Linked DNA regions of Ovis aries. The protein of the gene in region 1 interacts with the protein of each later gene in a biochemical or structural test. Links are inferred from orthologs where the notes say so. Each region holds a gene or a part of one and is shown in the gene's direction. Other genes may lie near its edges. The genes, in order: PPP1CA, PPP1R10, RRP1B, MAPT, AKT1, MPHOSPH10 and PPP1R15A.

Region 1 (4,187 bases):
GGAGCTGGAGTCATCCTGCAGCTCACTGGGCTGCGCCAGGTCCTCGCCCAGGGCCTGGGCCATGGCGCCACCGACCCCCCGTGCGGCAGGCTGCAAGATGTGGGCACAGCCAGTGTGAGCAGGGGCTCCCGGCCAGCCGGGGCCGGGGCGCCTCTGCAGCCAGGCCTCAGCCCCAGGACCTGCCCGCCTGGTCAAAGAGGACAGGTTGCAGGGCATCGCACCATACCCCTCTGGTACCCTCTCCTCTTGTGGGGTGGGGGTGGGGCACAGGCCCAGAGGGGCAGAAAGGCCAGGCCCCCTACCGGAGACCCAGGCCCAGCCCCTGTCCCAAGGGGCCCAGCTTACCTCCCTGCTGCACCTCACCTCCTCCTCTCACTTCCTCCTCAGCCACAGCTTCAGCAACCCGCTGAGGGCCCCTCCCAAGTGCGTGGTGGGGGGGGTTACCCCTTCCTCTCCAGGGCTCTTCCGGCCTGCCCCAGTAGCCCTGGGCCATGGGCTCCTCCCACCACCCCGGTGGGCTAGGTGGGTGCAGGCCTGGGTTCTTGTGCTGGGTGTGATGCAGCCAGGGCCTGCCAGAGGTAGAGAGGCCACGCTGCCTCCAGATGTGAGGTCACAGGCAAATAAAACACTCAATTCAGGGTTCCAGTGAGTATTACACTTTATTTAACGTGACTTCTTTTGTTAACGCTTTCGACAAGTCAAACAGTAAGTCATTACTGCGCTACTCAAAACACAACGACGAGACATTAAAAAATAGTAGTAATGGTGTAGCATGCGCCACGGGCAGGGGGACCAAAATGAGCTCGGCGTTCAGCGACAGGTGTCTGGGTATGGTCAGCCGCCCGCAGGCCACAGGGACCCTAGAGGTGAGAGCTCCTCCGTCAGTCTGAAGCCAACCCTTGCTATCTTTGAACCTGTTTCCTTTCCTGCACTTCGTGGATTTAATCTGCACTCTCTGGGGAGACCCAATGAGATATCAATGAGGTCACACCACCTTCTAGCCCGGGACAGAAATGGGAAGGACTATTGGGCCCTTGAAAGAGAAAAACAACTCCACACTACTTCCGGCCGCACATCCTCGGTGCAAGGGTGGGTAACTCCTCAAGGGCGGAACTAGAGTCGACCTCGCCCCGTGAAGCCCCGCCCCCAGTGTAGGCTCCGCCCCCGCAACCAGGTCAGCCCGAGCCCCGCCTCCCGAGCCGCCGCGGGCCCCGGGCCTGGCGTCCAGTGGAGGCGCTAGAGCGCAGGGGCGGCGGGCGACCGGGCGGGCCGGGGCGGGGCCGGGTGCGGCGGGGCGGGGCTGCCGGCAGAGGAGGCGGGGCGGCGGGCCGGGGCGGGCCCGGGCGGGCGGAAGGAGCACCAGGCCGGAAGGAGGCCGCGGGAGGGCGGGAGGCAGGATAGGGCCCGGAGGTGCTGGGCCAGAGCGGCGGCGCCGCCATGTCCGACAGCGAGAAGCTCAACCTGGACTCTATAATCGGACGCCTGCTGGAAGGTTGGCCGGGGAGGCGAGGGAGGTGGGCGCCCGCCGCGCCCTGGTCCCCTGCCCGGCCCGGAAGTGGCGCGCGGGTGGACCTGCCCCTCCCAGGGCCAGCTTTGACTGGGCGGGGACGGGCCGCGAGGTCCCGTGGCCACATCGTGCCCCCACCCCACCCCAGTCGTGGCGCGCTGGGAGGTCTGGGGTTGCTCCCCTTGCCAGAGCAGAACCGGGGTTGGCGGTGGCGGGGGTGGGCGCGCAAGGATTGGCCTGGGCTCTTGGCTGAGGGAGAAACCTGAGAAGCCTAGTCCCCCAGGAAGGGGTCCTGTGCTGAGGTTTTGGATGGCCTCTGCGCACAGCAGTCCCCTCGCGAGCGCCTTGAGGGCAGTTGGGGGTCCCAGGAGGCTCAGCAGCAACAGCTGCCCCTGGGCAAGGCGGGGCCGGGAGGCCCAGGAGCCCCTACCCAGAAGTGCCTTTGGGGCCACCAGTGACATTCACCCTCTTCTTGCCTGAGGAACCAGGGTCCTGACGCCTCTTTCCGCCCCCAGTGCAGGGCTCCAGGCCTGGAAAGAATGTACAGCTGACGGAGAACGAGATCCGTGGTCTGTGCCTCAAATCCCGGGAGATTTTCCTGAGCCAGCCCATTCTTCTGGAGCTGGAGGCACCCCTCAAGATCTGCGGTGAGCCCCCAGCCCAGGTCCCCGTGGCCTCCTGAAAGCGGCCTTGCCCCCCACCCCTCCCAAGTTTCTCCTCCCTTGGGCCCAACCCTGACCCTGGGTTCACGTTTAGGCTGCCCTAGTGCTGACCTGGTTCCCTGGGTCACAGGTGACATTCACGGCCAGTACTATGACCTTCTGCGGCTGTTTGAGTACGGCGGCTTCCCTCCAGAAAGTAACTACCTGTTCCTGGGGGACTACGTGGACAGGGGCAAGCAGTCTTTGGAGACCATCTGCCTGCTGCTGGCCTATAAGATCAAGTACCCGGAGAACTTCTTCCTGCTCCGTGGGAACCACGAGTGTGCCAGTATCAACCGCATCTACGGCTTCTATGATGAGTGTGAGTGGGCAGAGCATCTGGGCTGCCCTGGTCCTAAAGGGCTCTCCTTGCCATTCAGTGCGACCCTCGTGTTGACCTGGTGGCTGGGGTGTCAGCGTCTGACAAACACCTGCTAAGCTGAGTGCCGTGAAGGTAGCACCAGCCCATGCCACCCTCCCCGACCCTCCTAGAGCAGATCCTGGCACTCAGGAGGGACCTAGCCAGTGGCTGCTGGCTGAAGGGCTGCCAGGATTCTAAGGCAGGGCCTCACCTGCTGACACTCCCCTCCAGCGCATCCGATACTTAAGCACTTAGGATGCCTGTTGGGACTGGACTCTGTTAGACAGAAGCCAAGATGAACCAGACCCTGTCTCGACCTGGCCCTGCTCTTGTGCTGGGGGTGGATGCCAACCTTGAGGTCGTGCCAGAAGTGGAACTCTGGGGTTCCCGTGGACTTGGCTGCTTTAGAATTCTGTCTGGGAGGCAGTGGGGTAGTAGGGGTAGGGGGCGGGGGTTCGGTTTCCTTTTTTGCCTTCCATTCTCTCCTCCTAGCTGTGTCTGAACAACACACAATGTGTCCTGGAAGGCCTGGAGACCTGGGCTGAGGGTGGAGCAGAGGCCCTCTGGTGAGCTGTCTCCTTCCCCCTGGGCAGGCAAGAGACGCTACAACATCAAACTGTGGAAGACCTTCACTGATTGCTTCAACTGCCTGCCCATCGCTGCCATCGTGGACGAGAAGATCTTCTGTTGCCATGGAGGTGAGCACAGCTCTGGGCATGTGAATTCTTGAGCAGGATGAGCCTCCCAGGGTGAGCACCCCTGGGGACCTTGGGACAGAAGCGTCGGCTGGAAGATGTGTTCCCAGTCGCCAGGAACAGCTCTCCCTGGAGTCCTGGTATGGGTAGTACTTCTTCCATGACGTGCCCCCGCACTGCAGCATTAGGCTGCACCCACTGTTGTGTCATGGCCTCGCCTTCTTGCATGGAGTTTGCTTGTCCCCTTTCTCCAGGGCTTCCCTAGTGGCTCAGATGGTAAAGAATCTGCCTGCAATGCGGGAGACCCAGGTTTGATCCCTGGGTTGGGACGATCCCCTGAAGAAAGGAATGGCTACTCGCTCCAGCTTTCTTGCCTGGACAGTCCATGGGGTTGCAAAGAGTCGGACACGACTGAGCGAAAACACTTTCTCCAGGGAGCTCTGTGCTCCTTGAAGGGACAGGGACTTGGAAGAGGCAGAAGGTGATGAGTTCTGCCTTTGTAGGCTCCCAGGAATCCTGGAGAGGTGGGGGGCAGAGGCTGATTGGCAAAGGCTGCCTGGAGGAGGTGACCTGCCCCCTGTGCCCTCCAGGCCTGTCCCCAGACCTACAGTCCATGGAGCAGATCCGGCGCATCATGCGGCCCACAGATGTGCCTGACCAGGGCCTGCTCTGTGACCTGCTGTGGTCTGACCCTGACAAGGACGTGCAGGGCTGGGGCGAGAATGACCGCGGCGTCTCCTTTACCTTTGGAGCTGAGGTGGTGGCCAAGTTCCTGCACAAGCATGACCTGGACCTCATCTGCCGGGCACACCAGGTGGGCTGGCAGCCCCCATCTGGGTTAGAGCAGGGCTGGCAGCCAGCTCCTGCTGAACTAACCGCCTCCACCCTCGTCCAGGTAGTAGAAGACGGCTACGAGTTCTTTG
Region 2 (4,128 bases), on another chromosome or scaffold:
AAGTCTATAATTAACTCTGTGGTAGCCCCTCTCATCACTCTTCAGTCTCACTTTAGGGAGTGGCAGATGGGCAAGCCCTCCAATATCACGCTGCCCCATCAAGAATCTCCAGGGTGGTGAGTACGTGTGACTGAGGGGAAACCTCCATCCAAAGTAGTTATGCTCCCATGTATGCTTTAGGAAGAAACTGATTTAGTGAGATAAAGAGCCGAGAAACTGGTCCCCTGGTCGTGAGAATGTATTCTGGCTTTATTGAGCGATAGCCGGGCTGGTAGTAGTTAGTGTCCCTCAAAACCCAATGACACCCTTGGGCATCAAAGATTTAGACACCACCATACAGTTAACAGTTGGTTTGTGTTTGGCCAAGGGGTCCACATTCCATCGCCTAAATATCCGGCCGAGATGGAAAGCTGGGAAGAGAATGACATCCAACCCTGGCTCTTTACCCTTGTCTCAAGATTAGAAAACGCGCTGTGCTGAGGAATGAGAGGGGAAGGGGGAGGATGGGGGAAGCAGAGCGTTTCCTTGACAGCCAATGTACAAGCACTTGGGAAGCTCTCCGCTCCAGGATCCCTGGCAGTGGAGCGACGACCTAGAGAAAGTACAACCAAATCTGAGGTTGTACAAAATGTGCCCCAAGGAGTTACCTGAACTCCGTAGGCACCTCTGAAGGGCGAAATGTTAGGAAGGCGCCTCAGCAACACGTTCAATATGGAGGCAGCCATCTTGACGTACCCGCAAAGCAGGCACGTCCGCAAACGAGACTGCGCATGTTCCAGGAACCAGAGTAGGGTGGGGCCAAGGACGACCCCGCAGTGCGGAAGGCGGACGCGCGTCTGCGTCAGGACGGAAGCGTGAGGGGCGGGCGTAGGGAGAGGGCAATTTCAACTGCGTCACAATCGAATTCGGCCTTAAAATTGCGTTTTTGCTGAACCAGTCACTATGACTTTTCACTCTCATTCTTAGAGTCTGTGTTTTAAGCAATTTTGAAGTCGCTTTTGACCCTGATCCTTTCATTGCGCATGCGCCGGGCCGATTCTACCAACCCTTGTTGAGAAATGTTCTCGAGGGCGGAAGTGGTGGAAGCAGAGGAAAGGGAGGTACTAGGCTGCTTGGTCACGCGCACGCGTTAGGGCCCCCACCCCCAACCAAGGAAGGAGGCGGAAGAAGGTGCCCGGGGGAAGGGGCTGAGCGAAGGTTAAGGCCGGATATCCAATCAGCTGGTGAGTGGTTTCCCTGGTTGACCAATGAATTCACGCCTCGCGCAAATTGTCTCGCGAAGGGGGCGTTTCACTAGCACGTTTGGGCGCGTTGGGCGGTGTCCTCGTATAAAAGACTCCGCCCGAGCGGGCAGCCGCCATTCTGGGGTTCGTTTAGAGGTAAGTGTTGCCATTTTGTCGGTTGGTGGGTAAAATTTTGCTCGGAGAGTTGGCCTGGGGAACGGGTCAAACGCGGGCTCAGTTGAGAGCCATGATTCGTATTAAGCGGCTGTATTCGGGGTGGGACATGGAAGTGTTTGGGGACAACAAAAATGGTACTTTTGGGTGTTTTAATAGCAGCCCGTACTGATTACATCTTTCTCCCTTGTGTTCCTTTTATCCCAGGTTTGAATTTTCTCGGAGAAAGACAGGCCGGCCACCAGGAGAAAAGAAACAAGCCGCAGCACAGCAACATCTAAGCCCTTGAAAGGATCCAGAGAGAGGGGGGAAAGGGAAAAGAGCAGCCACCAGCCCAACCACTTGTGTCTTCTGCCCCTTCCCACCTATCTTGCCCACCCCACCAGCCCACGCTGCCTGGGACTTGAAATCTGTGGCCGAAGGACCGTCACCACATAACTTCAAAAATAATCAACCACCCACCCTTCCCAAACTCACCCAAGTCCACTCATCCAGCGTTTACTTTTTTTTAATCCACTCAGAACTTTTTTTCTACGACCCCCCTCCCTAAATGGAGTTGGGTGGGGGGGAAATGAATACTGAGTTGGCCTTTATTTTTTCTAAAGAGATTTTTTGATCCAATGAGGCCCCCCAAATAATTGAGTTTTGGGTCCTGGTTGGTTGTTTTATTTTTTTCTCCAAAATTTTAATCCCCTCCCCCCCTGAGCCCGAGGTGCTGACGTCGCAAAAAAATTGGATAGTAAGTGTCGAATTTTCAAAAACCAGCCTTGCAACAAGAAATCAACGTTTCCCGTTGTGAAACCAAAAATAATGAGAGGAAGAAATGAGACCATAGAACAAATAGAGAACTGGAGAAGGACCGATCCGGTCACTTAATCTCCATTAAAAAGGGCCGTTGGGTCTAAAACAGTGTTCTCTCTCCCTTAACCACCTACCTCTTCCCTGCTCTGCCGCAGGCAAGGAGAGGGTGGAGGGAGGGCCTGCGAGTTAGGATTTTGATGGTTAACCCTTGGTAATCCAGCCAATTTCCAGACTGCCAAAGCTATAAGTGTTTGCTTTTTATAAGGAGGAATGGTTACCTTCCTCTCGTTAGCAGTCTTCAAAAGGGTTAATGAGCTCACATACAAAAGATGGTGGATCTTGTGGCCCAGAAGTCCCACTTCTTTGTGTGTGAGACAAGCAGGGCGCTTTTCAATTTGCCAGATTAATAAGCAATCTGTACATAAAGATTGCAGGGTAAGGAGATGGGCGGAGAGAAGTAATAGTTGGGTATCTTTTAAAATGATTGTTAACTCCTCTCAATTTTAATGTAATATGCTTGGGGTATATTTGTGTGGTTAATTTAGGTGGCAATCTAGGAATAAAGATTGCAAGACACTTAATTCAGGGCAAAATATAATCTTAGTGCCAATACATACTAGATTGATAGCTGGGGAGGTAAAGAATGTTTTGTAATTGTTGCAGATTGCATAGGTTATTTAAAAGAAAAAGTAACATTTTAACTTGATACTTTCTGGTCGGGGGAATACAGTTAGAGGGTGGAAAGGTTGGGGGAATGTGGAATTCAGGAGTATTAATTTTACAAGCCATTTAGTGCAATTGAATGCTATCTAAAAGATTTGTGTCGTTAAAAGGAATTTTTTTTTTCTTCCCTGCTTCAATATGGCGACTTTCTTTGTCCTTTGTCTTCCAAGCGGCGTCGCAGGTTGTGTCTTGACCCATTTTTCTCCTGTCCTCCCACCTCAACCCTATTTGTTGAGAGGGGTCCAAGTCCTCCCCCCCCCCCGTTTCCCTTTATAGGGAAGATGCTGGGGGGGGGGGGCGGTGGGTGGTCGTTAGTAGCAAGTTGAACCTCAATTGCAAATTCAGTTCCTCCCCGCAGAAAATTGTTCTTTTAAATACTTTAATTGCCTGTATTCTCACAAAGCTCTTATTGATTCAAAATAGGTCAGACTATTCAGGATGGACTGCTTTTTTCTTTTTTGTTTTTTACTAAAAAAGTGGTTTTTTTAAATGTAAAGAGCTACCGGCGGAGCCTGGATAGCTTTAAGTTTGAGTCTTCTCCATTACAAAATGGCGTCCCAGCTTCTTTGTTTTTCCTTCCCCGTTTGCCATCTAGAGCTTAGGGCCGCCCTAGAAACTTGGTCAAGGGGGAGGAGCCGCCCTGAAAGGTGATGTAATCAGCTTTCTTCCTCCTTTCTCCACCCTCTCGAAACCCCGCCCCCGAGCAGATGCCTTCTGGATTCCTCATGCACGCTGCTGCTAGACGGGAAAAGCCATTTTCCTTATGTTCCTTAACCTTCTGTAACCATTATCTTAAAAGGAAAAAAAGCTTGTCGCAATTAGATCTTGAAGCTGTCTCCTTGGGCAGCTCTAGTTTTTGTATATAAGGATCCCGAGCCTGTTGCTTTTATTTTCACCCTCTCTCATCACTACTGCTTGGAAGTTTTTCCCTGCTTTAGTTGCCTGGGGTGGAAAACCAAACAGCTGTATTTTAGGACTGGAAGCTTTAGCGGGGGTGTGAGTGTGTGTTGGGGGATCCTGGGGGAAGACACAAAGATGGTGAAACTAACAGGAGTAAACAGCTGGGGCCTGATGACCCTGAAATGTGCCGTTTGTGCTCAGGACTGAGTCCGTCCTTGGGCCTCCTGCGTGTGGTCGATTTGTATAATGGAAATCGGGGGGAGAGTGGGTCCTTCAGGACTGATTTCTAAATGGCCCTTATTCCCGC
Region 3 (4,229 bases), on another chromosome or scaffold:
CAGGAGCACGCCCACCGCCCCCTGCGCGGCCCCCTGGACCCGCACACCCGAGAATTTGGGAGAATTTTCCAAGGCAGGGGTTGCAGCCTCCCTTCCCCTACCCAAGGCATGCTGTCTGCGGACGACGCCCAGGGCCCTCCCGAACACACTGGACGGCACCCAGGAGCGGTGTGGGGGAGTGGAGGGCGACAGCTAGAGCTCACAGGCCGAGACCTGGATGCCCACACTAACCCGACAGGCCTCCTCAGCGCCGCCAGCCTCGTTCATGACTGCCGCGGCCTTCGCTCCTGCGCCTGTGCGGCGGCGCGCCCTCTGACCCTCACGCCAGAAAGCGCGGGAACGCGTCCACACCGAGAGTCAGGTACGGAGAGCCGCGAGGCTCAGGCCACGCAGTTTTCGAAGCATTCTCGGCTGAAAGACCCAGAATGGGTCGGCGGGATCCCGCGTTGGCTCTTCTGGCTTAACCAGACTCGTAAACTTTGTTAACTGCAAAGTACAAGGACAGTGAGACCCTCGCTTAAGTGTCCGGTGAAATAAATCGAATAAGGCCCTTCCTGCTCGGCAAGGGATGTCAGACCAAGGGGTGACAGGTTCAAAGGAACCAGCAGCCGGCCGCCTGGCTCCCGCACTCAGCTCCCAGCTCCATGAGCAAAGGCCAAAGCTTTCTGACAACAGACTGCTCGGGAGGTCTGCCCTCGATAGGGAGACTTAGTCCAGTCCGCTGGTACGTAACTGAAACGGCTACCGTAAGCTAGGACACATCGCCCCGTCCATTCAGCTGCCCCTACACATCCACTGAGTTCGCACAGTGCCCATGCGTTCAAAGGTACCAGTTACTATACCACTAGGACTTTGCCTGTCTGAAGCCGGCCGCGAGCTGACAAGGCCAAGTGCCCAGCGTGCGTGCCCTCCAGGCCCGCGGGAGGACCTCAAGCTCACGCTCTCAATCCTCGCGGCCGGGACCCGGGCACTGGGGGTCGCCGGTCGCTGAGACCAGAGCGGCCCTCGAGGGGGCTGCCCACAACATCCCACCAAAATTCCCAAGGGCAGCCTCTCTCCCCAGCCTCCACCCAGCCCTGGCGGCCGAGGAGTCCAAAGCGATTCAAGACTCGGTGCCGCGTCTCCCGGGGAACAGCTCCAATCGGACCAGGATTTAGTGGAGTGGGCGCAAAGATTCTAGACCACGTAAAACTGGCTATCGGACTCTTCCCGGCCAACACGCAACGCCGGCTAACCTCGCCGTCAACGGCCACGAGCTTTGGCTACCGAGAGACGGCAGAGGCGGAGAGGCGCGCCGCTAACCAGGGACGAGCCGCTCAGCCGGCTGCCTTGGCAGCCGCGCTAGCTCCCAGAACGCGCTGCGAGAGGCGGCCGGCGCCTTTGTGACGCCATCAGCCTGAGCGCCGCTGCACGCGCCACAGCCTTCTGCGCAGTCGCGACCCGGGCGGCGAGGCGGCGGGCGCTCTGTGGCGGCGGGCTGTGGCGGGGGATGCTCCAACGGACACGATGGCCCCCGCCATGCAGCCGGCCGAGATACAGTTCGCTCAGCGGCTGGCGTCCCACGAGAAGGGCATCCGGGACCGGGCGGTGAAGAAGCTGCGCCAGTACATCAGCGTGAAGACGCAGAAGGAGACAGGTGGGCGCCGGCGGTCCGCCGCGCACATGGCGGCCGGGCGTGGGAGCCCGGGGTGGGCCGGGCTGGGGGTTGTGGGAAGGGGGCCCGGTCGGGAGGTGCGTCACAGGGGACGGGCCGGGGGAGCCGCGGGCGGAGCGGGGAGAGCGTGTGGCACTGAGTCGCACTCCCGCGTGTGCTTTTGTGTCCGCTTTCTGCTGGGTCTCGTCCTGTTCTAAGGTTGAGGGGCTGTGGCCGACAATGTCGGGTGGTCTGCTGAAAGTCACAGTGGGTGGTGAAGCTTAGGGTAGACCCGTTCTGTCCAACCCCGAGCCTGGACGCCGGATCATTGGGCTCACCTGATAGATTCTGGTGCGCTGTTCTTTGAGTCACGCCTTCACTTGACCAACACGTTTAGGAGTTGGGATTGCAAAAGAGAAGACAGAATCCCTACCCTGGAGAGAGTTGCCCCGGGAAGTCTAGGGAGGAATTTATACCTGAAACAGAGCTCCTTTAAGCAAAGTAACGGAAACGAAAACCAAAGAAAGAAAACCATCCTCTACGTCGGCCGTTGACGTTCAGCAGGTCGGAGAGGAGGCGGGCTAGCAGTGCGAGAAGGTTAGTGAGGGAGGGTGAGGGAAGGTGAAGTTGAACAAGTAGGCAGCGGCCAAGTCACATCGGGCTTTGTGATTTGGGTTTAAACAGCAGTGGGTACCGTTGAAGGATTTCATTAACTGATCTGTAAACTCCTGAAAGAATGAGCTACAGTGTGCAGTGGAGGTTTGTATGGCACTAAGATAAGTCTGGGCTTCCCTGATGGCTCAGACGTTAAGTGCGGGACCTGGGTTGGGTCCCTGGGTCAGGAAGACCCTCCTGGAGAAAGGCATTGCAACCCACTCAAGTATTCATGCCTGGAGAATCCCATGGACAGAGGAGCCTGGTGGGCTACAGCCCATGGAATCCCAAAGTCTCAGACACGACTGAGCAGCTGAGCATACAAGATAAGTCTGATTTTTTTATTGTTAGTTCTGGTACATAGAGCCTCTTTCAAAGAATTGATGTTATCTCTCCTTGTGCTGACCTCCTTAGTTAATGTTTTATTTTAAGGAAAAACCACAAGAGACTACCCAGGGGAAACAAAGTATCGTTTCATGGGAAGTCTGCTAGAAAGACTTTGACTCTGTTCAGGGTCTCCCCAGCAGATTTAATTTACTCATCCCATATATGCTGGAGATTTCTAACCCTGGTCTTCTAACCCAGATCTTTGCTGCTTTCAGCTCAGATACGCCCTACTCACCTGGCAGTGTCTACCTTGTGTCCTCAGACCAGAATGTCCAAAAGTGATTCATTTTTCTTCCCGCCCCCCGCCCCCCAACCACCAAACCTCTTGTGCTGCCCCTGCTCTTTCATTTTGGATGCTAGTTCCCCTCCCCACCCAGACTCTAGCTAGGCTCCTCTCCCCCACCCTGCATCCAGTGTCCTCTGGTCTCAGCTGTCTCATTTCCTGAACTACTCTCCCCTGCCTGGAGCACCCCCCTGCCCCCCGCCCACCCCCTGTCTCATCTAGACTTCTGTAGTTGCTTGCTTCCTCGATCATCTAAACTCCAGTTGCCCCCAGTGAACCCCCTGCTCTGGAACCAGCCTGGCTCATCATCTTAAAACAGCTGGACAGGTCAGAGTCCCAGGTCTGTGGACCACGGTCTGTTCTGCCTTTCTCTCCACACCTCATCCCCTCTTCCCCATGTGACTGCTCCACACTGGTTCCTGGTGTTCAGTACACCGATTCTCACCTCTGCCTTCACGTCTCCCATTCTCTGAAAAGATCCCCGCACTTCTCCAACTCCCAGTACTCAGTTCAGCATCACTCGCTCCAAAATGCCTTCTGTCTCACCTCACCCTGCCCCGCAAGGATCCCGGGATACCCTATGTGTGTCTGTTGTGGCACTTAGCTGCCCTGCTTCTTAATTATCAGTCGGTGTGTCACTGTCTCCCCAGAACACTGTAAACTTCCATCTGTTTTCCTAGCTGGAAGTGGGCGCGCATCCAGACACACGAGGGCCAGCCTGTGTACAGAACAGAAGAAGGACCAGATGCAGCGCCTACGGGTTGAGGCGACCAGACAGAGCCTGGTGTTCAAAACCCCTTTGGTGAACAGGCTCAGGGTCTGAAACGTCGGGGTGGCCCCAGGGCAGGATGCCCAGGGGCATGCAGTGCCCCGGGTGTGGTCTAAGTTACTTGTCCTATGCTCCTCACAATGCAGGGAGTGTAGCAGGCCTTCAGAAAAATGACAGTAAAGTGCACATCTAGACAGGGGTGACGGGACAGAATGGACATAGTCTCTGCCACAGCTGTGCCTGTCGGAATAGAAACACACTTTCGGAAATAACTTGGGCTGATGGTAGAACCTCACTGATGCGGTCAATTGTGTCTTGTCTCAGGCATAGAAAAGAGAGTCTGAGATGTCACTCTGCTGTCCATTAGCAACTTAGTTTGAAAACAAATTGAAAATCTTTGTAGAGCTTAAAGCAACTAAGTGTTGCTGTACCCGCTTTAAGTGTTGATCATTCACAGCCGTGGAATAGCCGCAGTTTTGCTCACAAGAGCTCACTTGTCCCTG
Region 4 (4,211 bases), on another chromosome or scaffold:
GAGGAGGGTATGGCAACCCACTCCACAATTCTTCCCTGGAAAATCCCATGGACAGAGGAGCCTGGTGGGCTACAGTCCACAGGGTCGCAAAAAGTCGGCCACGACTGAAGTGACTTAGCACATAACACACAACAGTTTTGAAAAATTGTGACCTATGCAAATAAAAGCTTTAAGACAAATTCCTGTCTTTTTAGTACACGACAGCGGTCCCCAAGCTCTTATGCATTTAAAGCCTCCCACTGACTGTCAGGGCTTAAATTAGATGTTGGGGAGACCAGCTAAGGACAAAGCCTAGAGATTGGCTGACTGAGAGGATGAAAGCCTCTGCTGCTAAGTCACTTCAGTCGTGTCCGACTCTGTGCGACCCCATAGATGGCAGCCCACCAGGCTTCCCCGTCCCTGAGATTCTCCAGGCAAGAACACTCTGGTCAGTTTCAATCTGAAGCAGTGTTATCCAGGTGAGAATCTCCAGCAGGAACTTAGAAATCCAGATCTCAAACTCTATACAGTGTAACAGTGTTTGACAAACAAGATAAAAATAACTTTATAGGTGAAAATGTTTTCTAACGCGGTAAGTGAAACTTCATCTAATTTAAGATTTTATTCTTAGGGTGAAGATAATAGATGTGAATGATCCTTGTTAAAACAAAAAACCCCAAACCCTTCAAAACCTTGCACTACCTTATTACTACTAAGTTAGCCTTAACTCAGTTGTAAGTCTTAGCAAATTGAAGTAGATTTGCCAAGAATTCACCTTGATCAAAAACAAAACAAAAAGGTGAAAAGAAAGCAGGTCGAAAGAAAGCAGATCCAAGGAAACTGATCTGCAACAAGGGGAATCATTTCGGGAAATTCAGGGGAGAGTCAGGGTGCCAGCGATAAGAGGGGCAAGTCCGGGGAGGTTTTGAGGTCTGGGGTGGACTGGAGGGATGGCCATATGGAAACTTGCCCAGAACGTTCCCGAGACAGGACATCACTCCAAGACGTCAGGGGGATAAAAGAGGCAGCGGACCTGGGGGCGGAGCACCCAGCCCCTTCTCGACCCAGGGAGCAACCAAGCCATCCTCCCAAGGGAGGAGACCCCTCAAACAAGACAAAGGCTCCAACCGCGACAGGAGACCCGGAGTGCGCGTGCGCCAAGGGGCGCGCGTGCGCGTTGCGGTCAGCGCCGCGGCCCAAGTCGTGGGAGGAGGGGAGACCCTGGACGGGAAGCGCCGAGAGGAGAGAGCGGGGAGGCGGGGAAGGGCCGAACCTTGGGGCGCTCGCGCGCGCCCACTGGTGGCCGGAGGAGAATACGCCCACCGAGGCCTCACGGCCCGCCCCTCCCCTGGGAAGGCTCGCGCTCCCGCGGCTCGCGCCTGCGCCGCCCGCCGGCCGCCGGAGCGCGCCCTCTCCGCTCGTGCGCGCGCTCGCAATCTCCGCCACCCACCAGCTCAGGCACCAGCAGCAGCGCCGCCGCCGCCGCCGCCCACCTTCTGCCGCCGCCACCACAGCCACTTTCTCCTCTGCCTCCCTCTACTGTCCTCGCCCTCTGTCGACTATCAGGTAAGTGCGAGGCTCCGAAATCTGCCTCCCGGTCCGCCCGGCTGCACCTGCATACCGCCGCCCCTCTCCTCAGAGATGGGTTTCATGAGGTGGGCATTGGTCGGGGGCAACGGCGGCGGCCGCTCCTTGCGCCCTCTGCGCTCCAGCGCTGGGATTGGGGTGACTTGGAAAAGGGATCTATGCAAGGGATGCACGCGCGCGTGTGTGTATGTCCTGTGTGCGTGTGTGTGGGGGGGTGTCTACAAGACCCGCTTCACGCGGACCCGGCAGAGGTTGTGCCCACAGGGTGGGGCGCGGATGGCGGTGATCTGGGGGAGGGGGCTGCTATGCACGCTCGAACACCGTCTTTTGCCGCAATGGGCGTGTGATTCTGTGGGGGGGGGGGTGGAGAGGGGTCCAATGACGACCCCCGAAACCTAACCTGTAATCCAATTTCCCTGCCTCGGTTTGCAGACAAGGTATTGATCGGTTTCTAGAAAAGATGACTCCCTGCCTGCCCCTCCCTATCCCTCCCCGGCCCTGATTTCAGCCGGGCTTTCGCGGCCCTTGGTTTAAGGCGGTGGCCCACCCTCTTCTCGTTTTCCTCCTTCAGAAACCCGCAGGGGACATTTGGGGGCTGGGAGTGAAATCGGGGAGATGGGGAGGGGTCTTGGCGCTGTCACTTTAGTTGCCCTTCCCCCTGCGCGCGCCTGGCACCGAGACGCGAGCAGCGCAGTGCCCGAGAGAACGTAGTGCCCGGATCCCAATGTGGAGGCTCAACAAGGCAGGGGTCACCTGGACTTGGGATATGGAAGGACTTCGCAGCTGCAGATCCCGGCTCGAGGGTGCGCACAGCCGCAGCCCCGCACAGACCCGCTCAGGGGCGGCAGGTGCATTTCGGGGCGGGCCCCTTTCTCTGCGCTCTGCGCCGGGAGTCCGGCGTGTGCGCTCCCTGCCGGAGACGCGGGGCTGGCGCGCAGGGCTCGCCCCTCACTGCGGCAGTGGGTGTGGACCCGGGTGGGCGAGGAGGGGGAGGGTAGGCTGTGCCTCCTCCCACTTCCACCCCTGCTTTTTTCCCCTCCGATCGCGAGGTGCCATCTTTTTGCGGTGTGTCACGTCTTTAGAGTGCCATGCCAAGCCGGATGGCTGAGCTCAGGAGGACAGGGCGGGGACTGTCATTAAGGGGAGGGGGAGCAATTAGCGCTGAAATCTTGGCATTTTGTTGCCCGAGTACCGGGGTCGTTCACCCGAGATCTTCCTCGGGGGCTTGACTGCTTTGTGTGTAGGGCTTACGTGATCTGTGTTGCCAGCCCTGATTTTTGGCTTTTATTCTATGAAGGTGTTTAACCACAGCTCCCGCCCCTCCCCCCGCTTTTTGCCCCTCATTTCCGAGCCCTTTGTTAGATCTCGGAGCTCGCCGGGGTCGAGGAACTCTAGTCCTCCCGGGGGGCACGCATGGGCCGGGCGTGACCCCGCGCAGCCCTCTCCCAGAACCGGGGCGCGCGCCAGAAAGCCTCCGAGGGGCCGAAGGGGTGGGATCCGAGGTCCCTGCGCGCCTCGCCGGTGGCCGCAGAGGAACGATGCCCCTCCCCACACCTGGAGCGTCCGCGGGCCACGCCCCACCAGGCTGCACACCAAGGAGCACCGGCGACCCCCGGTGGGAGCTCGAAGGCGGGGCGCCTCTTCGCTTCACGCCCTGTTGCTTCGCCAGGAGGGAGATTGTGAGGAGGGGGCAAGAGGTCTTCTCGGGTGCTGCGGGCCACACCCATTTTATTAAAAGGACTAGAGGGGGGTCAGGGGGGAGGTTGTCAAGGAGACCACAAGAGCCGGGGAAATAGACCTTGGGGCGTTGCCCCGCCCCTTCCGAACAGAGATTGAGAGCCTGGGATAGGCAGGACCAGGCCCCCGGCCCCGGCTCCTGGGGGATGATGGAGGGAGACCTCCCCCGCAAGCCCTGAACCCATGGCTCTTATTGGACTCCGGTGGCTGAAGCCACCCAGATAGACATCTCTCGTGTTTTTATTATTGTAGTCGAATTTTATTTTAGAACTGTGCGGTATTTTCGCTTAAGAGTCCGAGTTCGCCGCCGCCTTGAAACCGGGAGGTGAGGATGGGGGAGGGGGCATAGGGGGAGGGGGGAGGGGATAGAGAGGCGAGTTCGGGCCCTGGCGAACATATCTGAGCCTCGCCTGCCTTCCATTTGCCGGATCCTGGACGGCTTTCTGGTTAATTCTATCGCTGGAAACTGGTGCGAGGGCGCAGTTCTGAGAAGGGTGAGCATTTTAGGGGCCAAATTGTCTTCTCGAGCCACGCAGATTTATCTGAATAGGCGCGGAATGACTCGGTTGGGGATGAGAGTCTGCCCGCGCCAGGCCGAACCTTCCCGTGGCTTCAAGATCGAATCTGGTTTGGAGAGGTTCAAGGATCAATTCGAGCATCATCGCCGCCAATAGAGCTGGAGGAGAGATTCTGATACCAGACAGAGCGAGGGTCTCGGAGGGGCCCTAGGAACGGGGAGCCCGCGGCCACCGCTGCCCATGATGGACCTGGGGCAGAGAAGTCATCTCCTGTCGGTTGGGGGGAAAAGAGCCGGCAGAGGCGAGTGTCTTTAGCCCAGTGCTAGAAACAAAGTGCAGTACAGGCTTCCGCGTTTTTACTCTGTTTTGCGGTGTTTTGGCGATTTGATG
Region 5 (3,500 bases), on another chromosome or scaffold:
GGCCTCTGGGTCTCCTGCCCGCTGGGACCCGTGCTGGGACCTGTGCTGGGGGATGTTGGGGGGCTGGCCGTCAGCCTGCGTTCGTCCTGTCCCCGAGCTGGTCCCCAGCCCGGCTGTGGGAGGCCAGCGATGCTGGAGAGGAATCCCCTCCTTCCTCGGGAGTCCTGTAGCCGCTTCCTGGAGACGAGCTGGCGTGGTGGAAGAGCCCCGCTGGCAGACTGTCCACGGGGATGAGGAGGGGCCCCTGGGGGCAGGAGAGGAGGGCGTCCCGCCCTGGGCTTCCCCATCTGTCCCCAGCACGGGCTGTGGGTGCCTGTCTTGCCGTCCCCCCGTCGTTGGCCCCCAAGTGTTACGGCCAAGCGCACAGCACGGCGTGGCCAGGCCCTGGGCCGGCGGCCCTCCCCGCGCCCTGTCTGTGCTGAGCTCATTCCCATGCAGGCCACAGCCCAGGTCGCAGCTGGCGGCCCCGAGTGGCTGCCTGGCTGGACGTCTGCAGGCGGGAGCGTCCCAGAGACTGAAGAACGGGGTCTGTGTCTCCGAGCCCCAGCCCTGGCCTCCTCCCGCCATCCCCGCGCCGCAGCACGGCTACTGCCCCTCCGCCGGGGGCCCGAGGCGGGTGTGGCCCCCCTCTAGTGCCCCAGGTGCGGAGCTGTCGGGGGACCCAGCAGGCCTCACGGGCCTGTCCACGTTGAGTGCCTGCCCCGGCTTCTCTTGGCCTGCGCTCCCCCCACCCCCACCTGCCCAGGTCGGGTCCCCAGAGCCTGTGTGGCCCTGGCACTGGGCTCGTGGGCGCGCGGTGGGCTCGTGGGGGTGCGGCGGGCTCGTGGGGGCGCGGTGGGCTCGTGGGGGCGCGGTGGGCTCTTGGGGGCACGGTGGGTGGGGTCCGCAGCTGGGGATGGCGGGGTCTGAGGCCTGGGCCGGGGCGTGGGGGGGCTCCTGCTGGCAGCCCGCGTGGGGCGCGGCGCTGGGGGCCCACGCTGGGCGCGGTGGGGGCGGCAGCATTTGGTGAATGAAGATGGATCTGGGGGCTGCTCGGGTGCGGCGCGCATCGCTCTCCCAGCGCACTTAGCGTCCCGGGGAGCGGCAGCTGGCGGGACGGGAGGCTCTCCATCAGGGGCCGACAGCTCCAGACTGGCGCGCAGGCGGGTGGGGCGAGTGGCGGGCGGCGGGCGGCCCCCAGCCAGCTCTGCCCCCCACCCCCACTCTCCTCCCCCAGTGCTGGCACAGGCCGTTGAGGGATCCCCAGCCCTGGGACAGGAAGTGCCGTGCTAGCCACCTCCCCTGGGGGGTCTCAGGACTGGGTGGGGACCCTGCTAAAAGCTGCTGGGGTGGGGGCAGGTCACTGGTCGCCTCCTGGGCCCTCCTGGGTGGGTCAGTAGTGTCTGGGCCTGGTGGAGACCCCTGCCTGCAATCCCTGGGGGATGGCGGGAAGTTCCTGGATGCCCCTCGCATCCCCCAGAGGCCCCAGGGGCCCCAGATGGGAGTGGGCCAGGGCGGAGGAGCGGGCGAGGGGAAGGGGTCTGGGCCCTGCTCGGCCTCCAGGTGGCCGCGTCCAGGAAAGCCCGGCCCCTCCCCTCCACCGCCCAGTGGCCCTCTGCTGAAGTGGGCGCCTAATTAGTAAGTCCTCTGCTGCCGTTCAAACTCCTTGCTCGGCAAAATGGAAACGAAACGTTTTTTCTTGGTGTCAGTATGAAAAATGGCAGTCGCTGGGACGTCACGGAGGACATCTGCTCTGGTTCTCTGGCGCGTGTACGGCTGATGCTGCAGAACTTGGGGGGAAACTTTCTTGGGGACCTGGGTGACCCGTGGGTGGGACAGGGTCTTCCAGGCCTGGCTTCACAACTGTGAGCTGGGCGCCCCCCCGGATGGCAGGAGGGTCATCACGTGGGCAAGAGCTTCTCTGAGTGCCCACCCTGGGGACCTGCTGAGGGTGGGCTTGCGTCTGCCAGGCGAGTCTGGGCGTCTCACTCTCGAGTGTGGCGCTAGCTGCTCGGCGCTGGATGCCAGGTTCCTGGAGGGCCCTTAGGACTGGGCCAGCCTTCATCAGGTCCAGGCGCCCACCTGACCCCCTTTCCAACACAGGCTGGGGTGGGCTCTTCGTCAGAGGTGGGTGCTTTCCCACAGCAAGCCCCGCCTGCCCACCCGGCCTCCACCCCGGGGGAATCGGGGTCCATGCCTGACCTGGCCCAACCCTCGACCTGGGGATGAGGGTGTGCGGGCCCGGCGCATGGCCCAGAGGCTCAGCCTCATACCTGCCTGCCCTTCACCCTGGGTGATCGGGGTCTGCCTGGCCTGACCCTCGACCTGGGGACGAGGGTGTGTGGGCCCGGCGCGTGGCCCAGCGGCCCAGCCTCACGCCCCCTCGCCGCGTCTGCAGGGGAGTACATCAAGACCTGGCGGCCCCGTTACTTCCTCCTGAAGAATGATGGCACCTTCATCGGCTACAAGGAGCGGCCGCAGGACCTGGAGCAGCGCGAGTCGCCCCTCAACAACTTCTCTGTGGCCCGTAAGCGCGTGGTGGCCGCGGGCGGGTGTCCCTGCGCGTCTGCAGCCCCTCGTGGGCCCCCCGGCCTCTGCATCAGGCTGGCAGCCCTCGGGGACTGTTAGTGGCTGGTTTTGGCTGCTCGGGTCTCTGAGCCGAGGCCCTAGGCTGTTGGGGGCAGAGTGCTACCCTCGGAGGCACTGACGGGCCCCCAGGGCTTCTCCCCAAGGCTCGGGCCCAAGGCATGCTGGAGTGCACCGGCTTCAGGGGCCTGTCTTCCCGGCACAGGTTCTCAGAGGCCCCGGCCCCTCGGGGGCGCGTATGCCCTCCTCAGCGGGGTGCAGGCTGGGTGGGTATGGCAGTGCCGCCGGGGGCATCTCAGGAGGCTCAACGGATGGGCGCATTTTTTCTAAAGCAGGTGCTGCTGTGGCCTCATGCACCTGCAGGGGGGTGGCAGGTATGACCGCCCGAGGCGGGGGCACTGAGGTGTGAGGATGGGGTGCCCGGCGGAGCCTCCAGCCTGGGTGCCGTGCCCAGGGCTGGCCCGGGACACAGGCCTGGGGGTGGGGGAGTGATGGCTTGTTTACTGGCAGGCCGCGGGGCCCGCCCACCTGCTGCTGGGGCACAGAATGCAGGCCCGGCCCCACCCGGCTCCTCGTAAGCCCCCTGCCCTCCCTGCCGTGAGCCCTGCGAGCCCGGGGCCGCCAGCTCCCCCACCCCGCGTCAGACCAGGGCTGTGGTGCAGGGTGTGGGGGTGGGTAGCACCATGGTCCATCCCCCAGTCTCGGCGCCTGCAGATGCCTGGGTGGGCCGGCCTGGTCCCTGGGCTGTCCGTGCTGCAGGGAGGCCCAGCCAGCCCACCCCACCCCAGGGCTTCTAGCAGAGGGAGCAGAGGCCCTGACCCCGACCAGGCCCTGGCTGGGGGCTCCCTGGGGTGCTTTACCAGGGACTGGCTCCTGTGAGCCCTGAACCCTCCTCCCAGGCTCCTCGGGTGTCAGCAGAGCAGCAGGTAGAACAG
Region 6 (3,938 bases), on another chromosome or scaffold:
ACAAGACCATGAATATCTTAGAGTACGTGGGAAGAAGACACACAGCTTCCATATTCTTTACACAACTGACCTTCCAGAGTGGGCCGGAGTTCAGCCTGCGTTTTCAGTGCTTCTTCTGGTTCCTCCCCCGTCTCTCACTGTCCCTCTGCCATTTACCATATTTGGGTCTGGCTCGGCCTGGCTGCCCCTTAGCCGGACGACCCCGCCTCCAGGGCCACACAGAGAATTGCTGACCATCAGATGCAAACACAGAAGGAAATCCCCAGGCTAACCCGAGGAGTCCCTGGGAAGCTCTAAGGGCTCTGACAGCAGCCAAGGAACGCGCCTCGGGAGCAGACCGTAGCAGACTCAAGTGTGCTGACCACACGCGGCCTCTTCACGCCCCGGCCTCCCTTCCCGCGGGTCCCACCCCTCGGACAGCCCCGATCCCGGAGTATTCACCTGCGGCGCTCGCGGCCGCCACCTTCAGCACTCGTGCCATTTTGGGAAGCATCAGCTGTTTCCAGACTTGCAGTTCCGTGGGAGGGGCGACTGTGCCGCACGGGGCGGGACAATCGTGTTAGGGGCGGTGCGAGAGGCCGAAAGGGCGGAGCAAACGGGGCTAGGGGCGGGGTGAGAGCCCGGAGGGGCGGGACAACCTGGCTAGGGGCGGGGCGGGAGACTGAAAGGGAGGAGCAGACGAGACTAGGGGCGGGGCAAGAGCCCGGAGGGGCGGGACAGACGAGGCTAAGAGCCGAACAAAAACTCCGAGGGGCGGGGCAGAAGAGGCTGGGGTCTGGCGAGTGTGCAGCGTTTGTGTGTGTGAGGGGGAGCAGGCCCTCTGTTTTACAGCACAACGTACTGAAGTCACCTAGAGTGCATCTAAAGCAGAAACTTTAGGAGGACTCGACACCTCCTGTGGGCCCCTCGGGAATACAAAGCAAAAAGTTTGGAGACGTTTCATCGAGCTGACCAAAGGCTACTTTCGGTTTCCAGCCCCACCCCCATGCGCAAAACGGGTTAAAGTTCTCGGGCCGTCATTGGCTGAGGCTGGAGGTGGATCCGGAACCTGTGCGCCGCGGAACCTTCGTTTCCTGGCTTCAGTCGCGCGGGGGCGAATCTTTGAGGCCTGGTTTCCGGGCGGTGGCTCACTTCCTTTGCATGCGGCACTGTCCCGAGCGGCAGTCAGCCATGGCCCGGCCAGCCTGGCGTCGGCGGACTCTGGAGCGGTGCCTGAAGGAGGTCGGTAAAGCCACCGACAGCCCAGAGTGCTTCCTCACGTAAGTGCCCAGATCTCGGGCTCTGGTGTGGCGCAGGACTCGCGTGAGCGCGGGCTGCGGGCTCCCGGCAAGTTCCAGATTAGGAGAAGGGAAGAGCTCTTTTCCTTACTTTTCCGGTAGTTTGCGCTGTCCTGGCCTGTCACACTTCTTTAGATAGTTAAGAGCTGTGTTCTGTGGGTCTCCCAGTTCTGTGCTGCTGAACTCAAACTAACCTGGGTTATTACAGTCTCGAGGTCTTCATGCCCTCGTCCTTCGCACAGACGCACCTGGTGGCGTGCTCTTTTTCACATCTGTTCCCACAGCACCCAGTGCTTACTTACTCATCATCAGACTTTATTGAAAGTACTAAGTTGCTTATCTATCCACCCCACGACTGAGCCTCTTGAAAATTAGAATTGTCTTTAATCTCTTCCCAGCACAAGCTCTTGGTGTTTTTGTTCGAAGACGTATAGAGATCTTGTATTTCACGCCCGACCTTTCCCTTGAACTCCAGGCTCACAGTCAACTAAAGCCGTACACTCAGCATCTTAGATTCAGTCTGTCCAAAATAAACTGTTGCTGTGTTTGCTTCCTATCCTCTGCCCTCCCTGAGATCCTTTCCCCATCCTTTCCACCTGCCTTCCATATCACATTGTATCTTTACAGTTTTTCAGATGCAAACCAAGCCACTTCCTCAGTGTCTTCCTTTTTCTCGATTCTACGTCCAGTTCGTTAGCAAATCTTGTCAGTTACATCTCCAAACCATATTCTGAATTTGATTATTTGTCACCATTTCTGCAGCTCTGATCCCAGCACAGTTGTGCATCCTTTGTCTGCTTCAGTCTCCTGATCACCTTCATTTCATTCCTTCTTCTTGGCAGGCCATCTCTCCAAGCATAAGTCAGGTCATTTTGCTTCTCTGCTTTAAAGCCTTAATTTTTTTTTAAGATTTTAAAATATTTGTACTGTTTCATTTATTTACTTTTAATATTTAGTGATTTATTTGGCTGCACCAGGTCTTAGTTGCAGCACTCGGAATCTTTAGTTGCTACATGTGAATTCCTAGTTGCTGCATGTGGGATCAATTCCCTGACCAGGGATCAAACCCAGGCCCTGTACATTGGAAGTGTGGAGTCTTAGCAAGTGGACCACCAGGGAAGTACCCAAAACCTTCGCTTATGAAAATGACAGCCTCTTATCTCTGAGGCCTGCATGATCTGGCTCCCACCCAGCTCTCTAACCTTCTCTTCTGCCTCCTTCACCACACTCAAGCCAAGCTGGCCTTTCTGCTCCTCAGAATCACCAGCCTCATTTCTGTCTTAGGAAGTTTGTTCTTGCTGTTTCTTCTGCCTGAAATATGTGTCTCCAGATTTTTTGTCAGACTGTGATCTTATAGATAGGTATCAGCTCAGGTATCACAGCTATTCTATGACCACTTTTGCCACAGCAGGTGGACTGACTAAATGGAGAGGCCTGTGATATAGCAGAGTTGAGAATTTAAGGCTAAGATACACTCCATCCATGCTCAGTCATGCCTGACTCTTTTGTAACGCTATGGACTGTAACCCGCCAGGCTTCTCTGTCCATGGGACTCCAGGCAAGAACACTGGAGTGGGTTGCCATTTCCTCATCCAGAAGATTCACTCTTTATCTTAAGGCAAAGAGGTTTGTAATGGGTTCCCTGCCTGAAATCTAGCAGATTCAGAGATACTGGGTTGTCACCTTTTATATACTAATGTAACTCTTGGGCAAGACAGTACACTCTTGGGGGCCAGAATCTATACTTAAAATGGAGATTTCATTGTGCTATGTGCCGCAGCCTGGAAGGACCTAGAGAATATTATGCCTGTTGCAGTCAGTCATAGAAAGACAATTGCTGTATGTTATCATTTACGTGTGGAATTTTAAAAGAAATATAGATGAATGTATATAGTAGAACAGAAACAGACTCACAAATATACATAACCAAAAAAGTGTTGCTGGGGGTGGGGGGCCAGGGCAGAGGATGAAATAGGACTGTGGGATTAAGAGATACCAACTACCATGTGTAAACTAGATGAGCAACAAGGATATATTGTACGGCAGTGGAACATTCTTGGCCATTAGCTTCTAATAACTTAATGGCGTATAATCAAAAATACTGAATCACTGAAATTAATATATTTAAAGCAGTACTTCAACTTTTAAAAATTTTGATTTTGCGCAAGAGTTGGGCCTTTTTTTTCCTTTCATTTCTGAGTGCTGTGAACTTGTTAACTATAACTATAAATCTCATAAATCTCATTTAACTCCTTCTCCCTGCCTCTTAACAGCATTCAAGGTGAACTGGCATCAAAGTTTACTTCTTTAACAAAAGTACTTTATGATTTTAATAAAGTACTAGAGAATGACAGGAAACATGGGAGTCCTTTAGAAAAATTGATGATAAATAATTTCGATGATGAGCAGATTTGGCAACAATTGGAACTACAAAATGAACCAATTTTACAGCACTTCCAGAGTACAGTTAGTGAAACCATTGAAGATGAAGACATCAGTCTTCTCCCAGAGAGTGAAGAGCAGGAGTGTGAAGAAGATGTGATGGAGCTGGAGGCTGCTGGCCAGGAGGACCTGGAACAAGATTTAGAGGAGGAGGTGGAGGAAGCAGAGGAAGAGGAAGTGTCAGACCTGAGTGCTGATGATCCTGAAGCAGATGAGAGA
Region 7 (4,300 bases), on another chromosome or scaffold:
GCCGAGGGGAGGGGTTGGGGGCGACGTCCAGCCCCCTCCCCGACCGCTGGATCCCTGCTGGACTGGAGCCTGGGCCACCGGGGTCCCATAAAAGCTGAAGCTAGGATTCCTAAATATTTGGCGAGTTGGAATTGGGCCTGGACTCCAGGGCCTCAGTGGATTGGTCGCTGTCAGGGGCCGGGGGGTCACTAGCGCATCCTGAGTGGAGATCACTAGGATCTTGGAAGGGGCGGGGGCTCAGACTCCTGGACACCTGGAAAGGTGTGAGCTGGGATTCAGGACTGCTGGGCTGTGAATAGAGCTGGGATCTGGAAGAGTGGCTTTAAGTGGACGGGTCCAAGTGTGCCAGTGACGAGGAGTGGCCCAGATTCCTGAACGAGCAGGGTCAAGTGGCCAGGGTCAATGTCCACCTCGGATTCACGCGAGAATTCCGTTCTAGAATGAGGATGACCCCTTCAGGAGGGAGACTTGAGTCCCCGGCATATTTTGAAGAACAGGATTACTGGGTAGGGCGGGAGGGATGGGGGTGAGTAGCGGGGAGCCGGTGCGGGGGAGGACTGGGACTGTGTTCCTGGGCCTGGAATTTGTGGCAGAAGACCCCCCCCCCCCCACTCCCATGAGGTTCCGTTGGTGCTACACAGCCAGAATTTCAGTTTGTGTAAGCAGAGGTTTTTTGTTTTGTTTTGATAAATTTGAAGCGGGTGAAACCTACGAGTGGAGACTTGTGCCCTAGACAGGGAAGGCGTGTGAATTTTTGGTTAAGTATCCCCTCACCACGATAAAGAATCTGCCTGCAATGCAGGAGACCTGAGTTCGATCCCTGGGTCAGGAAAATCCCCTGGAGAAGGGAATGGCTATCCACTCCAGTATTCTTGCCTGGAGAATTCCAGGGACAGAGGAGCCTGGCAGGCTAGTCCATGGGGTCGCAAAGAATTGGGCACAACTCAGCGACTAACACCTTCACTTTCACCACGTATTTGTTGAGTACTTACTATGTGTCGTGCAGTGAGCAAAGCAAAGTGCCTGCCTTCAGGGGGCTTACACATTCTGTCTCTTTGGCAATGAATCTAGACTCTGCTGTGACCGCCTTGGGCAAGTGATTTCATTCCCAAGCCTCAGTTTCCCCATCTATGATATGGGAACAATAATACTCTCCCACACCAGGTAGGAAGTCGAACAGATGGAAAGTAGGAGACTCTAGACTGGGGCCTGGTTTTAAGTCAGAGGCGAGGCATTTGCTTGGAACAAGGGTTAAACGAGCTGGCTTTCTGCTTGAGCAGTTCACGCGCTTGAGTGACAGCTCACTCGTTTGGGGTGTGGCCACGCTTGGAAACACCGCCGCCGCGTGATGTCACAAAGCGCGGAATCTCCGCGAGAAGTCCAACCTTGTTTTCCGTTCCCTTCCCTCACGTTTACGTTTCGAAACCCCGCCTCCCTTCTGACGTCAGCACGTCCGGCTGCCTTGAGCCATAAAAGTGCTGACGGTAGCGTCACCTTTTCGCGAAGTTTCCGGCCTGGATGTATTTGTATGTTTCCCTGGACGATCGTACGCCTCTTTGTCGCGACAGTGCTTGTAGCAGCCGGTGACAACTTGAGTCCTCGAGCCCGACGCCGGAGGGCGAGATGAACGCGCTGACCTCCCGAGCCGTCCGAACCTGCGAACGCTTGTGGCAACCTCAGCCGGCGCTCCTGCCTCCGGGTTGACGCGCAGTCCAGAGCTGGTGAGTTGAGGGGATCGGAACACCTAGGTCCCCAGGGGTTAGGGGCTGGGACCGGACTCCTGGCCAGTTAGGAGTTGGGAGCTCAGACTTCTGAATTCCGGTGGGTTCTAAGGAAGGCCTGGAAACCTGAGGGGTTCTGGAGGGGTGGGAGGAACCCCAGGGCTCCGACTTAGGAAGCAGAAAGAATTGGGAACTTGAGAGTCCTGAAGCAGACGGAGGAGGGGTCCGGGAGCCAGACTCTTGGGTCCCCAGAGAAGTAACCATCCAGGGATCGGAATTTTTGAGTTTCCAAGGCGGGGGTGGGTGATGGGAGCTAATTTGTCAGTCCTCAGGAGTTGAGAGAAGCAAGGACTAGGACTTTGTCCCCAAGAGAAGTAAGTAGAGGACCTGCGTTTTGGCTTCCTGGGACCAGGACTTTCGGGTTTGAGAGCAGATGGGGCTAGGGGCTTGTTGGACTCAGGGAAGGAGAAAATGGGGACTCCTTGGGTTTTGAGAGAAGAGGTGGGGAAACAAAGGTCAGAGATGGGAGTGGCTAGGCTCAGAAAGGAATGTGGGGCAGGAACTCTTACATTGCTGTTTGTGTTACTATTTCCGTTGCTATGACTCAAGGTCATCCTCTGATGCCATTCCCTAAATGGCTTCTAAACCTGACCCTCCTTTTTCCCTCCTCTTTCCCCAGCCCAGACAGATGGCTCCAGGGCAAATACCCCATCAACCTGCCCCCTGGAGTGGTACCCACCCCTTCTTCCTGCTGTCCCCACTGATGGGCCTTCTCAACCGGGCCTGGAGCCTCCTGAGGGGCCCAGGACCTCCAGAGCCCTGGCTAGTGGAAGCAGTAATCGAAGCAGATCAGGGAGGAGCTGGCCTGGAGGATGAAGCAAAGGCTTCTCTGGCCACCTACCATGCCCCCTGGGGCAGGCACCCTCAAGAGGAGACTGAAGACAGTGGAGCAGCTGAGGAGGACGGAGAAGCCTCCCCGGGGGCCTGCCTTGACCTGGAAGGCAAGCATTCTCTTCCCGAAGTCTGGGGACTTTCCGATGATGATGATGAAAAGTACAGTGAGGAAGAAGCAACTGGTGTCCCTAGAGAGCAGGAAGAATTTATGGATGGCCAGCCTGCTCCCCTGCCCCTCAGCCTTCTGATAAGATCTCTACCAGACCTTCCTGGGGAGAAGGAATCTAAGGAAGAAGCGGTTACTGGAGGTAACGAAGTGACCCGGTTCTCTTTTCCTCTGTCACACTGGGAGTGTTGCCCAGGGGAGGAGGAAGAGGAGGAGGAGGAGGATGGAGAAGCTCTTAGGGTGTGCGGCCCGGTGAATGGAGCCACAGAAGAAAGAACAGAGACTGAAGCAGCCACGAAGACCTCCATGTACCCCTCATCTGTAGGCTCCCACCTCAGGGCCTGGGAATGTTGTTTGGGAGAGGAGCCTGAGGAGGAGGAGAAGGACAAACAGGCTGGGAAAGGGGATGCTGACCCAGGGCCACACTCCACAAGTCTAGCCCAGAGGCCCTCCCTCAGGACCTGGCAGCATCCGTCCAGTGCGATCACAGAGGAGGAGGAGAAGGAGGACTGTGATTCAGAGGAAATGGGGGCTTCCTCTTCCGTCCCACCCACAAGTGCCTTCCTGAGCGCCTGGGTGTATCGACCAGAAGAAGACACAGAGGAGGCGGAGGACTGTGATTCAGAAGCAACTGAAGATGAGGGAGAAGCCGAGGTCTCCTCTGCCATCCCACCCACAAGTGCCTTCCTGAGCGCCTGGGTGTATCAACCAGGAGAAGACACGGAGGAGGAGGAGGACTGTAATTCAGAAGCAACTGAAGATGAGGGAGAAGCCGAGGTCTCCTCTGCCATCTCTCTGAAAAGTTCCTTCCTGAGTGCCTGGGTGTATCAACCAGGAGAAGACACGGAGGAGGAGGGTGAAGAGGAGGAGGACTGTGATTCAGAAGCAACTGAAGATGAGGGAGAAGCCGAGGTCTCCTCTGCCATCTCTCTGAAAAGTTCCTTCCTGAGTGCCTGGGTGTATCGACCAGGAGGAGACACAGAGGAAGAGGAGGAATGTGATTCAGAAGCAACTGAAGATGAGGGAGAAGCCGGGGTCTCCTCTGCCATCCCACCCACAAGTGCCTTCCTGAGCACCTGGGTGTATCGACCAGGAGAAGACACGGAGGAGGAAGATGAGTATGAGGACGAAGATGATGAATCAGGAGCAGCTGACTTGGGACCCGGCCCCTCCCTTCAGACCCAGAGTGCCCTCCTCAGGGACCAGATTTATCAGCCTGAAGAGAAAACAGATGGAGGGGAAACTCCTGAGAAGTGGGGAGAAGCTGAGCCCTGCCCCTTCCGAGTGGCCATCTATCTACCTGGAGAGAAGCCCCCACCTCCCTGGGCTCCTCCTCGGCTGCCCCTCCGACTGCAAAGACGGCTCAAGTCTGCACAGACCCCCACCAGGCATCTGGACCTTGAACCTCTCCCGAAGACCAGAAAGGTAGGTGCTGAGAACTTAGATTCTTGAGGTGAGGGAGGAGAGGGCTGGGAGCCAGCACTCCTGGACCTGGGGACCAAAGGACTGGAGGCCCCGA

The links.
Region 2: the proteins of PPP1CA (region 1) and PPP1R10 form a complex in vitro, tested with the Homo sapiens proteins (2 studies listed by BioGRID). The link is inferred for Ovis aries from reciprocal best matches to the Homo sapiens genes PPP1CA and PPP1R10.
Region 3: the proteins of PPP1CA (region 1) and RRP1B form a complex in vitro, tested with the Homo sapiens proteins (4 studies listed by BioGRID and IntAct, with this or other methods). The link is inferred for Ovis aries from reciprocal best matches to the Homo sapiens genes PPP1CA and RRP1B.
Region 4: of the proteins of PPP1CA (region 1) and MAPT, one has a biochemical effect on the other in vitro, tested with the Homo sapiens proteins (2 studies listed by BioGRID). The link is inferred for Ovis aries from reciprocal best matches to the Homo sapiens genes PPP1CA and MAPT.
Region 5: of the proteins of PPP1CA (region 1) and AKT1, one has a biochemical effect on the other in vitro, tested with the Homo sapiens proteins (3 studies listed by BioGRID and IntAct, with this or other methods). The link is inferred for Ovis aries from reciprocal best matches to the Homo sapiens genes PPP1CA and AKT1.
Region 6: the proteins of PPP1CA (region 1) and MPHOSPH10 form a complex in vitro, tested with the Homo sapiens proteins (2 studies listed by BioGRID and IntAct). The link is inferred for Ovis aries from reciprocal best matches to the Homo sapiens genes PPP1CA and MPHOSPH10.
Region 7: the proteins of PPP1CA (region 1) and PPP1R15A are reported together in a solved structure, tested with the Homo sapiens proteins (2 studies listed by BioGRID and IntAct, with this or other methods). The link is inferred for Ovis aries from reciprocal best matches to the Homo sapiens genes PPP1CA and PPP1R15A.

Annotation. Positions count from the first base shown.
Region 1 is NC_056074.1:41,699,855-41,704,041, reverse strand, and holds the start of PPP1CA (serine/threonine-protein phosphatase PP1-alpha catalytic subunit), read left to right. Parts: upstream 1-1,387; 5' UTR 1,388-1,437; coding exon 1,438-1,492; intron 1,493-2,022; coding exon 2,023-2,154; intron 2,155-2,299; coding exon 2,300-2,530; intron 2,531-3,162; coding exon 3,163-3,267; intron 3,268-3,854; coding exon 3,855-4,078; intron 4,079-4,159; coding exon 4,160-4,187. Other genes in the region: TBC1D10C (carabin), read right to left, coding at 1-216. UniProt on the Homo sapiens protein: Protein phosphatase that associates with over 200 regulatory proteins to form highly specific holoenzymes which dephosphorylate hundreds of biological targets.
Region 2 is NC_056073.1:27,488,075-27,492,202, forward strand, and holds the start of PPP1R10 (serine/threonine-protein phosphatase 1 regulatory subunit 10), read left to right. Parts: upstream 1-1,328; 5' UTR 1,329-1,379; intron 1,380-1,604; 5' UTR 1,605-2,136; intron 2,137-4,128. Other genes in the region: MRPS18B (small ribosomal subunit protein mS40), read right to left, coding at 648-725.
Region 3 is NC_056054.1:264,405,266-264,409,494, forward strand, and holds the start of RRP1B (ribosomal RNA processing protein 1 homolog B), read left to right. Parts: upstream 1-1,429; 5' UTR 1,430-1,506; coding exon 1,507-1,636; intron 1,637-4,229. Other genes in the region: HSF2BP (heat shock factor 2-binding protein), read right to left, coding at 232-267. UniProt on the Homo sapiens protein: Positively regulates DNA damage-induced apoptosis by acting as a transcriptional coactivator of proapoptotic target genes of the transcriptional activator E2F1.
Region 4 is NC_056064.1:45,622,035-45,626,245, forward strand, and holds the start of MAPT (microtubule-associated protein tau), read left to right. Parts: upstream 1-1,411; 5' UTR 1,412-1,545; intron 1,546-4,211. UniProt on the Homo sapiens protein: Promotes microtubule assembly and stability, and might be involved in the establishment and maintenance of neuronal polarity.
Region 5 is NC_056071.1:66,967,750-66,971,249, reverse strand, and holds part of AKT1 (RAC-alpha serine/threonine-protein kinase), read left to right. Parts: intron 1-2,377; coding exon 2,378-2,506; intron 2,507-3,500. UniProt on the Homo sapiens protein: AKT1 is one of 3 closely related serine/threonine-protein kinases (AKT1, AKT2 and AKT3) called the AKT kinase, and which regulate many processes including metabolism, proliferation, cell survival, growth and angiogenesis.
Region 6 is NC_056071.1:25,149,708-25,153,645, forward strand, and holds the start of MPHOSPH10 (U3 small nucleolar ribonucleoprotein protein MPP10), read left to right. Parts: upstream 1-1,138; 5' UTR 1,139-1,140; coding exon 1,141-1,259; intron 1,260-3,550; coding exon 3,551-3,938. Other genes in the region: MCEE (methylmalonyl-CoA epimerase, mitochondrial), read right to left, coding at 442-493. UniProt on the Homo sapiens protein: Component of the 60-80S U3 small nucleolar ribonucleoprotein (U3 snoRNP). Required for the early cleavages during pre-18S ribosomal RNA processing. Part of the small subunit (SSU) processome, first precursor of the small eukaryotic ribosomal subunit.
Region 7 is NC_056067.1:55,213,795-55,218,094, forward strand, and holds the start of PPP1R15A (protein phosphatase 1 regulatory subunit 15A), read left to right. Parts: upstream 1-1,500; 5' UTR 1,501-1,721; exon of another isoform or gene 1,722-2,232; intron 2,233-2,400; 5' UTR 2,401-2,409; coding exon 2,410-4,206; intron 4,207-4,300. Other genes in the region: PLEKHA4 (pleckstrin homology domain-containing family A member 4), read right to left, coding at 1-89. UniProt on the Homo sapiens protein: Recruits the serine/threonine-protein phosphatase PPP1CA to prevents excessive phosphorylation of the translation initiation factor eIF-2A/EIF2S1, thereby reversing the shut-off of protein synthesis initiated by stress-inducible kinases and facilitating recovery of cells from stress.